3 linked regions of the Ovis aries genome follow. The protein of the gene in region 2 purifies or fractionates together with the protein of the main gene of each other region. This does not show direct contact. Links are inferred from orthologs where the notes say so. Each region holds a gene or a part of one and is shown on either strand. Other genes may lie near its edges. The genes, in order: NUP160, SEC13 and KLHL12.

What was found.
Region 1: the proteins of SEC13 (region 2) and NUP160 purify together in Homo sapiens (affinity purification with mass spectrometry; 4 studies listed by BioGRID and IntAct, counting the BioPlex papers as one, with this or other methods). This does not show direct contact. The link is inferred for Ovis aries from reciprocal best matches to the Homo sapiens genes SEC13 and NUP160.
Region 3: the proteins of SEC13 (region 2) and KLHL12 purify together in Homo sapiens (affinity purification with mass spectrometry; 3 studies listed by BioGRID and IntAct, with this or other methods). This does not show direct contact. The link is inferred for Ovis aries from reciprocal best matches to the Homo sapiens genes SEC13 and KLHL12.

Annotation. Positions count from the first base shown.
Region 1 is NC_056068.1:76,487,760-76,491,406, reverse strand, and holds part of NUP160 (nuclear pore complex protein Nup160), read left to right. Parts: intron 1-2,368; coding exon 2,369-2,579; intron 2,580-3,128; coding exon 3,129-3,351; intron 3,352-3,647. UniProt on the Homo sapiens protein: Functions as a component of the nuclear pore complex (NPC). Involved in poly(A)+ RNA transport.
Region 2 is NC_056072.1:54,305,077-54,308,723, reverse strand, and holds part of SEC13 (protein SEC13 homolog), read left to right. Parts: intron 1-381; coding exon 382-729; 3' UTR 730-3,647. UniProt on the Homo sapiens protein: Functions as a component of the nuclear pore complex (NPC) and the COPII coat. At the endoplasmic reticulum, SEC13 is involved in the biogenesis of COPII-coated vesicles.
Region 3 is NC_056065.1:79,286,393-79,290,724, forward strand, and holds the start of KLHL12 (kelch-like protein 12), read left to right. Parts: upstream 1-1,527; 5' UTR 1,528-1,654; intron 1,655-1,930; exon of another isoform or gene 1,931-2,045; intron 2,046-3,442; exon of another isoform or gene 3,443-3,526; intron 3,527-3,802; 5' UTR 3,803-3,843; coding exon 3,844-4,038; intron 4,039-4,332. UniProt on the Homo sapiens protein: Substrate-specific adapter of a BCR (BTB-CUL3-RBX1) E3 ubiquitin ligase complex that acts as a negative regulator of Wnt signaling pathway and ER-Golgi transport.

The sequences.
Region 1 (3,647 bases), on a different chromosome or scaffold from region 2:
ACTGACCAGATATCCTGCAGAAGGATTGCCGTCTTCTGAGATGTAGAAGATGGGTTTTGGACGGGTGTTAAGTAGTTCTTTTAGCCGTGCTATTAAAGTGTCTGTGTAGTTGCATTTTGACAGTGTCAAGTAGGCATTGAAATTTATAGGTTCAGAAGAAAGACCTGTGTTAGAGGTGCAAATCTCATTGATTTCAGAAATATTTTTGAGTGCCTAATATGTTCCGACACCAGTGCTAAAGAATCTCCCTGCCAGTACAGAGGATACAAGAGATGTGAGTTCGATCCCTAGGTCAGGAAAATCCCCTAGAGGAGGGCATGGCAACCCACTGCAGTATTCTTGCCTGGAGAATCCCAGGGACAGAGGATCCTGGCAAGCTCTGTAGGGCTTTGGGTTGCAAAGAGTCAGACTGAAGTGACTTTGCAGACACACAATGTGTTCCAGTGAATGTTTAGGGACTGGGAACATAGCAGGGAATAAAGCAGACAGTCCTTGCTCTCAGCAGAAGCTGATCAATAACAGTAACCCCAAAAAACAGTAGTTCATCAGGTGATATGTGGAATGGAGAACAGGGAAGGGAGAAGGGGAATTATTATGTTTAATATTTCACATAGGGTAGTTGGGCAAGACCCAGTGATAAGTTAACATTTGAGCAGAGGAAATAAGGGTACCCAGGGGGTGAGATTTCAGGTAGAGTCTTTGAAGAAAAAGGGCAAAAATCCCGAGACAGGAGCTTGTGTGTTGTTTTCAAAGAATGGGAAAGGGCCAGAAGTCTGCCTCTTGAGAGAATGAAGGATGGAGGAATAAGGTAGCCAAGGGGCAGATTAGGGCTTTGTCAGTTATTTCAAGGCTGTGACTTTTACTTTAAGTGAGAGGAGGGTTTTAAGTGAAGAAGTATTATGAATAACAGTGTTTTTAAAAGGTGCTTGTCTGCTGTGTTGAGAACAGAGTGTAGTAGGAAGGGATGGGAGCAGGGAGGCCAATTAGAGGTTGGTGCCACAATCCACACAAACGATGGTGGCGGCTTACAATGAGTTTGGTATTGTTAGAGGCTGTGAGAAATCTTCTAATAGTGGATATGCTTTAAAACTATTTTGTTAGAATTTAGTGTTGGATCAGATGTAGGGTATATAGAAAGGAAAAATTCAAGGGTGAACCCCATGTTTTTGGCATGAGCAACTGGAAGTTACAGAGACGCCATCCATGAGTTGGGAAAGAAGTGGAGGTGAAGCAGATGTTTTCCTGGTTTGCTGGGTCCAGGAATTCTGTTTCGGACAGGTGTAGTTTGAGATCCCTGATGTACAAGTGCAAGTTTGAGGCAGTAGTTAGGAGGTGAGTGGAGAGTGTGGGCTGAAGAAGATACAGATTTAGAAATCATCGTCAGTCAAAGCTGTTAAACCAAAGGTGATCGCCCATAGCAGTGGTCCGCAAGCTTCTTGGCACCAAGGACCAGTTTCACAGAAGACAATTTTCCCACAGATCTGGGGTGGGGGGACTGGTTTCAGGACGATTCAGGCACATTACATCTGCGGTGACCTTGGTTATTGTGACATCAGCTCCACCTCAGATCATGAAGCGTTAGATCCTGTAGGTGGAAACCCGCTGACAGAGAGGAGAATCGGGTAGTGCAGTAGATGAGATCTGGTTAGGACACGGCCAGCATGGTGCTGTCTGTGGTTCTGAAGCTACCGCATAGCAGAGGTATACGTGAGCAGGAGTCTCTTCCTGCTTCCTAGCAGGAGGAAGCTTTAGAAGGGACTTATAAGATCACTGTAGTTTGATGGCTATAGTGATTATATGTAGAGGCCATGTTACACTATAAGTTGTGAGTGTGTGGTGTGAATTTTAATCCTAGTGGAGTTTAATTGAATTGACTATTGTTCTAAAGGTTTCCCAGGTGGTGCTAGTGGTAAAGAACCCGTCTGCCAATGGGGGAGATAAGATAGACCTGTGTTCAGTCCCTGGGTCGGGAAGATTCCCCCTGGAGCAGGGCATGGCAACCCACTCCAGTATTCTTGCCTGGAGAATCCCGTGGACAGAGGAGCCTGGAGGGCTGCAGTCCATAGGGTTACAAAGAGTCAGAACTAACTAAAGCGACTTAACACTTTGTTCTAAACATACTATCAAGTTTGGAAATGTCTCCATTTAACAGAGAATCATATAATAATAGTTGAATTGTATATAATGCTGTGTTTTGTAGACTATACAATGTGGTTTGGAATGTCAGAATTGATTTGAGTTTGCTTATCCAAAATTTTTGAATTAGAGTTCACCTGAAAACTATTGTCATACATTTCCATGCAACAATCAGAAAGAAAAGTGTAAACTCTTTTTTTTGTTGTTTTTTACAAATGTCTCTTTTTAATAGGAAAACCTCTGGAGATACATTGGAGCTGGTGGAAGAGTCACTGGACATAAATCTGTTGAATAATGCAGTTCGCCTCAAATTCCAAAACTGCGTCCTTCTACCCGGAGGAGTTCATGTCTCTGAGACTCAGAATCATGTGATGATCTTGATATTGACCAATCAGACCGTGCATAGATTGCTTTTACCACACCCTTCCCGGATGTATAGGAGTGTAAGTTGGTTAAGTATAATGTCCTTTATTTCTCAGATTACTTGGTCGCAAATTTAGTATTAGAGCAGTGTCCTTTGGAACTGAAGAAAGGATGGATTCCTGGCTAGCCCTAACCAAGCACACTTCCGTGCTGGCATTGTTGTTTAGTCGCTAAGTCATGATCGGCTCATTTGCGACCCTATGGAATATAGCCCGCCAGGCTCCTCTGTCCGTGGAATTGCCCAGGCTCTTCTGTCCATGGAATTACTGGAGCGGGTTGCCACTTCCACCTCCAGGGGATCTTCTCCACCCAGGGAACGACCCCACATCTCCTGAATTGCAGGCAGATTCTTTACCGAGGAACTGCTGGGGAAGCCTCATACTTTCCTAGTTACTATTTAAAATGATCAAATACATTCTAAGTTGCAAAAATAGTTTTATTAAAAAGAACAGCTTCTTTTTTCAACTCAACAATTTTTTACTTTAAAAACATTGATAGCAATTGGGAGGAACTGAGCAAAATTCATTTATTTTGTTTTTAACAGATTTTTCTTTTTCATTTCTCCACAGGAGTTGGCAATCGAAAGTCAGATGCAGTCAATATTCACTGACATTGGAAAAGTTGATTTTAGGGATCCTTGCAACTATCAGTTGATCCCGTCAGTGCCTGGCCTCTCCCCTGGTTCTGCCGCCTCAGCAGCCTGGCTGAGCAATGATGGGGAGGCTCTGTTTGCTCTGCCATCTGCCTCTGGGGGGATCTTTGTTCTTAAACTACCTCCTTATGACGTACCTGGTAAGAACGGGAATGCAACATGGATTTAATTTCAAACAGATACTGGCATTAAGACAGATGTTAGAAGTCCAGGGCCGTTATCCAGTGCAGGAACTGCTTCCAAACCATCCTAAATTCATTATTACTTTCCTAATGAGTCCCTAACACTTCACAGTTTTTCCCAAGAGGGTGGGATTTTATACGGTGAATGAGGAACTGCAGCTTACTGGAATATAGGAAAACAGGTGGCTATAAGGTGGCCTATTCTAAGGCCTTTAGTAGAGATGAGTTGCCTGATGTCTGTTTTCAGTTTGAGG
Region 2 (3,647 bases):
GCATTGAGAAAGTACAGGGCTACTGGAAACCAAACCCAGGAGGTGACTTGGCACATGTGGGAAAGTCCCAGGGAAAATTTGAGAAACAGCAGTGTTGACAAAGTCCATCCCTGAAACTGGTGTGAGGAAAGGGACCTGGGAGACTCCTGACCAACCTGAAGTGCGTTCCTGGGCTGAAGGGATACAGGCAGGGACGCTGGGCTGGAAATTGGTTGTCAAAGCTGTAAACACCCAGGAGGTCTACCCAGGAGGTCTTTGGCTGTGGTTTGCCCTGATTCCCTCCCCGTGTTCCTGAAAAGGTCCAGTACAGATCCAGGTGGAGAAGATGCCACCGGGGAGGACTGCCGCCCCCACCTCCTGACCCGGGCCTTCTTTCCCCAGGATGGCCGAGTGTTCATCTGGACCTGCGACGATGCCTCGGGCAGCACGTGGTCTCCCAAGCTGCTGCACAAGTTCAACGACGTCGTATGGCATGTCAGCTGGTCCATCACAGCCAACATCCTGGCGGTCTCAGGTGGAGACAATAAGGTCAGTTCAGTCACTCAGTCGTGTCCAACCCCATGGACTGCAGCATGCCAGGCTTCCCTGTTCATCACCGACTCCCGGAGCGCGCTCAAACTCGTGTCCATCGAGTCAGTGATGCCATCCAACCATCTCGTCTGTGTGGTATTCAAGCCTCCCACCTCTTCGCCAGCACCTAGCAGCCCTCATTTTGCTCTCTGTCTCTGAATGGACCATTCTAGGACCTCCTAGAAGTAGAATTGTAAAGGGTTTGATTTTGTGAGTGGCTTGTTTCACTTAGCATAGTGCTGTTGTTGTTGAGGCACATAGCTGATTTACAGCGTTGTGTTCATCTCCGCTGCACAGCAGTCGTTCAGTTATACATGCTGCTTCCGTGTTCCTTTCCATGGTGCTTTGTTACAAAATACTGAATGGAGTTCCCTCTGTTCCGTGGTAGGACCTTGTTGCTAATCCATTCTGTGTATAACAGCTTCCATCTGCTAATCCTGAATCCCCAATCCTTCCCTCATGTAGACCCCATCCATCTTGGCAACCAGAAGTGTATCCTGTCTCTGGGAGTCTGCTGCGTAGATGAGGCGGTGGTCATGCCTCTTGCAGTCATGCTTTGCTGTGCCTATTCGCCAGAGACTGAAATGGCCCAGTAATATGTCTGTCTGTATTTTGAGGAACCACATTCTGTTCTCAGTAGAGGCTGTTAGCCTCATTGCACTGCTATCAGCATCTTCCAAGGGTTCCATTTTCTCTGAACACTCTTCCTGTATTTGTTATTTCTACACCTTGATTTAAATTTCTGATATTAGGTTGAATATCTTTTTTCACACTGTGAGTAAAATGTACCTTTTGAAATTACCTTATTAACAGTGGGCCCTGTTTTCATTACCTACCCAAAGTCTTTAATTGACAGCAGGTATCATTTAGAAGCAAACACGTCTTTCGAATATGACCCTTCCTTAAGCACTGGGTTTAAAGTTCTTGTTATAGAAAATGACAACAAGGAAGCAGCCTCTCTTCCTGACCAACTGCGGTTACTGCAGCTTCCAGAAGCTCAGGAAAAGCCGTATTCCCGGGCTGTCAAGGGGACAGTATGCGCCAGCACACACACTAAAGGGCTTCCTCCTCCTCTCTCCCTCCTCGGCAGCCTTCAACACCCAAAATACCAACCCCTGCCGAACCCCAGCACATAGGTGGCTGACCGACGTGGGTGGACTTGAGTCTCTGGACAGACGCTAGAGATGGGAAGCCCTCCAGCAAGACCTCTTCCCGCCCAGAGGACTCACCTCTTGTGGGCGCACTCGGTGCGCTTAACGCTCGGCATGTCCCACATCTGGTGCTCCGGTGCCTTCCGCAGGGACCGGACACTCCGGTCCAGGAGGGCGTCGTTGCCGGCCCCTCCCTCCCAGCTCCCTCGGCCCTCGCCGCCCCAGCCTTGGTTCCCAGCCAGCTCGGGCTCCAGGGATGGACATCACCCCAGGCTTCAGAGGCCTCATCGCAACACAGTAGATAATACTCTCTGAGGTTTTTCTTTCTTCCTCTCTTTTATCTGGACGTTTTGTTGATTTAGTGTCATGTCCGTTTCAGACTGCTGGGTGCTGGTCCCCTCTGCGTGTGCACATAGCTCCTCTGGAGTTCTTTCCCTGGATAGCTTAGGACAGTGCTCACTGGGGTTCTCTGCGCTGCAGTAGAGTCTTGTCGACTGTCTCCTTTAGTGATGGGAGTTATAGAATCCCAGCCTTCCCATTTATCTGCCCACCGTACCCTGCACTAACACTTCCTTGTTTTTCTTTCTTCACTGACACGCTCTTTCAAGTTCACCTATAACAGTGTTTGGATTCCACCTATTATTGAAAGCATAAAATACTTGTGTGTCTGTGTCTGGATTAGATAATTCGTGCGGTCATCTCTGGGTTTATCCACATTGTTGCAATTGGCATTATCCGTTTGTTCCTAGACATGAGTAATTATTCCAGAGTATATCTATACTACGTTTCTTTTTTACTGGTTCATCTGTCATCAGTGTTTGACATTTTTCTGTTTGTAACTAATGGTGCGGTGAACACTGGCGCGCAGGAAATCTTTTCATATTTGGTGTCTACAGGCCCTGTGACAGCAGGTCTTTTTCTCAGTTGACTGTAGTCGATCTCTTGTGAATTTTTGACCGACCTCCATCATGCTCTGCCGAGTAGGTCTGCCAGTTCCGTTCCCCCGGCAGAGCAGGCAGGCTCCCTTCCTTCCGGGTGCTCTCTGGGGTCGCCTCTCACACCGTAAGGATTGTCCTTCTGTAGGGTGTAACGGGATTCCAGGTTGGTGTCCGGGTGACTTCTTTCTGCTGATTGGGAATGCAGACCATGTCTCTCTGTACTAAGGTTGACAGCAGTGGAGGAAAATCTTTCTCTGCAACCCACTACTGGAAAATGGGTCGTTTGGAATTCTTTATCCATGAGCTACTAAGGTAATGTTTCTTGAAGGCAGCTGTCTTCTGCAGCTCCCAAGGGCCTGGTGAATTTGAACTGCCTGAAACCACGGTTTTAATGAATTATTTTGGGCAGTGGCCACAAAGTGGCAGCGTTTCTTTGCCTGGCTGTAGTCAATCTAGCTTCCAGAACCCTAGGGGACAGCATGTCCCTGGGCTGTCAAGAGACTGACGGGTGCGGCACAGACACCCCAGGGTTCTCGTCTCCTCCCTTCCCTCCCCCTTGCCCTTCACTCCAAGAGGTGCCAGCCCAGGAGGCCGCAGTGCCCTGGCGCTGCCCAACATGCGTGGACGGAGGCTAGAGAAGGGGAGCCCTCCACAGAGGCTGCTGGTGGAGACTTGGGCTCTTTTCATGCCTGTCCGGCCCAGAGGACTCAGCTCTTGGGTGAGCTGGGTGTGCTTGAGCCTCTGCCTGACCCAACCGTGTCTGACGAGTGTGCTGCCTTCCAGAGGGAACAGGCGCTCAGGTCCACGCGTGGGTCATTGCTGGTCCCTCCCTCCCAGCTCCTCCAGCCCCTGGACACGCCAGCCTTGTTTCCCGGCCAGCTCGGGCTTTAGGAGTGGACATGAGCCCCTGTTTCAGAGGCCTCATTGCAGCACGCTGGATAGTACTCTCAGGTTCTCCTTTTTCCCCTGTACCTGGAAGTATCCCTGG
Region 3 (4,332 bases), on a different chromosome or scaffold from region 2:
CAGGATCTGCCTTATCTTCAGTCAGGACCAGGAACCAGCCCTTGGGGGCATGAGCTAGGGCTGGGAGCAAATTCACGATGAATTTCAAAGCAGCAGCTGGGGCCCTGCTGTGATTACACTCCATAATTATGAGGCACATTCTCCTGTCTGCCACGCTCTGATGGCACAACAATGCAGTACCCTCTGCCTAACTGGTTTCGAGATTTGCCCCACATTCGATGTACTTGATGTAGAGCTCCACAACACATCCATGCTTCCCTTACTGAAACCCTTCAGTAGCTGTCAACACCCAGAGTCTTCCCAGGCGTCCAAACACCAAGGCAGGGCAGTGTGTGGAACCTGACTGATCCACTCACCTCATCCAGACACAGCCCTCCAGCAACGGACCTAAGAACTCAGAATCAGTTTGGGCTGCAGGGTACCGAGTCAGATATCCAAAGTTTAGGACGGTGTCCCCGTGACTTGACTCAAAACATGTTAGGGCTGTACCCTTGAAGAAAACAGAAGCAGCCTGACTAGGCCCCTCGGTGTGTTGGCTTTCTTGCTGGCAGTGTCCTTGCTTGCAGCCAGGAATTAGGCAATATCATTAAAGCAACTAGATGCTATTCTGCAGCCAGAAGACAAGGGGTTGTTTTTATTTAAATTATACATACATTAAGTCCACATGATGTAAAATTCAAAAGGGACAAAAATACGTAGAGGAGAAAATCTCTCCCACCCTGTCTCCCAAACAACCAGTTCCTCTCTCCAAAGAAATTTCTGTTGCTACTCTACTTTGTATCTTTCCAACTGCAATTTTTATACATATACTGGCAAATATGACTGTATCTTTCCCTTCTACACAACTAATGGCAAAGAATACTCACTGTTCACAACTTCGTGGAATTGAATTGTACGGCGGCACCACACGTTACTGAAACAGTCCCCAATCCAATCTACAACCTTGTACACACATCCTTTTTCATGTGTGTGAGAATATACAAAGGATACATATACCCAAAAAATCGCTGTTAAAGGATATCTGCATTCATCATTCTGGCGAACTTTTACAAAATGCCCCCAGTAAAACCTGGATCAGTCCTGCACTCAGAAATTCGGAAATCAAGAGCATTTTAGATCAGAGATACTACATGAGAGATGGAAACACTACACAAAATTAGACTACGATACTGCCACCCGCTTGGCCATAGTTTTATTATCCCTGAAGAATCAAAGGCACCACAGTGGAAAACGGTACACTCAAGTACAGCTGGTTTGAACCTGCAAAGGAACAGTATCAAGAAACCTCATTCCCTTCCCAGGCGCTGAGATAAGTGCGCCAAAACCAATCAGAAGCAAAATTTCTAGCAGAACGCTCAGCACCCAGGAGCTGTGAAAGGCAGCAGAAGCGGACAGGGGGCCGGAGGACCCCCGGGACGTCTAAGGTCCTTCGCAGTCTCCCTGGCGGAGTCCCGCCTCCAGGGCCGCACGCCCCTTCCACGTAACTGTCTCGGAGGGCAAGCAGCAGAGAACCGCGCGGCGGTGGCCACAGACGCGACTGTGACGCAGAGAACGCCGAGGTCCGTGGTCGCGGGGCTCCGGGATTCTCATCACAGCGATGGTCGGCCCGAAAAGGCCACTGCGGACTATGGACGGGAGGAAACGGGGCGCCTCGGTGGGTTTCCTCGACGTGAGAGGGCGCCTGAACGCCTGTCAGGTGAAACGCGCCCTGCGGCCAGCTCCCTACCTTGGACACCTGCGCACTCCTCTCGGGTCTCCGCGTCTTGAGGCCCCAGGGTCGGTGGTCGCAGGGAGTCTCGGCCGCGGGCCGCACCCGTGCCGGGGCCCGCGCCCCCTTCGCGCCGCGTCCACCCGCTCCGCCCAGGCCCGCCCGCGGCGCCCGCAGTCACGTGACAGCGGCCTCGCACGTGACGCGGGCAGGCGCGACGTCATCACGGCGCGCGGCCGCGGGCGCGGCGCCGGAGCCTCCGGGTCCGGGCGGCGGCGCTTGGGCACCTCCCGGGCCGCCCGCTCGCCCCGCGCCCGCCCGGCGGGCCGGAGCGCAGGTGAGTGGCCCGGGGGCGGCAGCCGGTGCCCTCCCCCGCCGCCGTCCCCTCAGGGCGGGCGGGGGCGTCCAGGCGTCGAGCGCCGCGACCTCCGTCAGGAGGCTGTCGGGGAGGGGGGCGCCGCTGCTGTTGTCGCCCGCCGGGAGGCGGCCCCTCCAGCGGGGAGCTCGCGGGGGGCCCCGGACCAGGTGCCCTGGGGCGGAGCGCGGCCGGGGACCCCGGGAGCGGGCAGCCGCACGCTGGGGCCGTGTCTGTCTGACGCGCAGAGCCGGCTCCGACCCGCCGCCCCAGGGTCCTCCCCGTATAGCGGCGTCCGTGCGGGCCTTTCTCAGTCTCCAGAGTTGAAACGAAGTTGACTGCAGGAAGGCCTTTCTGGATATCGTCTTACGCCTGGATGAGCCACCTCCTTTCCTGTAGAACGGGTCCTGTGGAGTGGCTGGAGACCGTAAAGAATAGTGCGCTACCCATAAACAGGAGTAGATGAGGATTTAGGGGCTCGTTTTCCCTTTTCGTATAAAACTATGGTTGTGAGTTGTGGATTTTCGAAAAGCATAGTTTGATTTGATTTTCTTGGATCCTTACAGAAAATTTTGGATTCCACATAAGACAGACTCTTAGTCACCTTCCAATTTCGTTCCCCAGAAATTGTCCTTGAAGCAAATAAACAAAAATAAAATAATAACTTAACTGAAGCTTGTCAAAAATCAAGAAATTACTTCTATTAATTTTTTGACGTGTAGCCTGTTACTGAGTTCATTTAATTTATGCATACAGTGAACTTTACAAGTAACTGGCTGTGGCCATAAAATTAGTAGTAGTGTTTTGATACGTTTTCTATCCCAGTAATTCTCTCATAGTATAGAAGAATTACTACAAATACTAATTTGTTAATATTGATGAATGTATACTAATAGTTAGAGTAGGTGGACTTTCTATAGAACTTCAGTAGCTTAAGCTTGCATGGTCTCCATTATTCAGTGTAGGTACTGCATCCCCTGGAGAAGGATAATGGCATCCCACTCCAGTATTCTTGCCTGGAGAATCCCCGTGGACAGAGGATCATGGCGGGCTACAGTCCATAAGGTCACAAAGTGTCGGACATGACTGAAGTGACTTAGCATGCAGGCATGCATTGGGTCCTCATTTGAGGTTTCATTTTAAGAACAAATCCAAATATAGTTGGAAGTCATCATAAATAATTAATTGGGTGCTTCTTTAGAAAAAGTTTATTTTCACTGATACTGGCCCTTTTGCTCTAGGTTGAAGGTGCAGTTCCTTTCTTGCATTCTGTTACTGAACGTTTATTATACACTTGCTGGGAGAGAAAAAAAAAGATACATATATATAAAACTGGGTCCCCACCCTCTATAAATATTCAGCTACTTAATTTCCTTTAGGGTATTAAAAATAGTGACATCACACCTTTAAGAAATTGTATCTTCTGACTTTCACCGTGAGAGAGAGCGGCCTTGTGAAGATAGGTGAGAGAGGAATAGTCTCTTTCTCCTTGCAGCAGGGTGTTGGCGGCAGTTATGTCGGGTGGTTTGGGCACTCCATGGCAAGGGGAGTTCAGAGGGAGGAGGGATCCGATTTACTCAGGGGAATTAGTGGCTGGGTTGTGTTGGTAATGCCAGGAAGAGGCGTGTGCTCTACCTGTGGATGTTTGAGTCTGATGGCGCCGCCTCTGTTTGTAAAGCTAACTGAATATATGCAGTGTCCCCAGGCTTTCACACGTGCTCCCTGGCTTTGTTTCTTAGAGAATTCAAGGACCCCTTTCACTCGCTCTCCACGCTGCTTGATGAGAGGCATCATGGCTCCCAAGGACATGATGACAAACACTCACGCTAAATCCATCCTCAACTCCATGAACTCCCTCAGGAAGAGCAACACCCTCTGTGACGTGACGCTGAGGGTGGAGCAGCAGGACTTCCCCGCCCACCGGATCGTGCTGGCTGCCTGCAGCGACTACTTCTGCGCCATGTTCACCAGCGAGGTACGTGGTGGACCGGCTCCTGACAGGTGGAGCCCACACAGGCCACCTCGTGGGCATCTCATTCCGCTGAATGAGACAGTGGAAGTTCTGTACGATTGTGAGTCGCTATAGCCTGGTGTTCAACGGCAGACTCTGGATAACATCTGCCATTTGACTGTGCGTTAGTTTCCTCATCTCAGAATGAGGAATGATGGTAGTACACCATTTCACATGGTGTTGTGGCAGTTACCTGAGGAACTTACATGTGACGTGCTTAGAACAGTGTCCAGCATGTAGCAAACACAGATGTCAGCT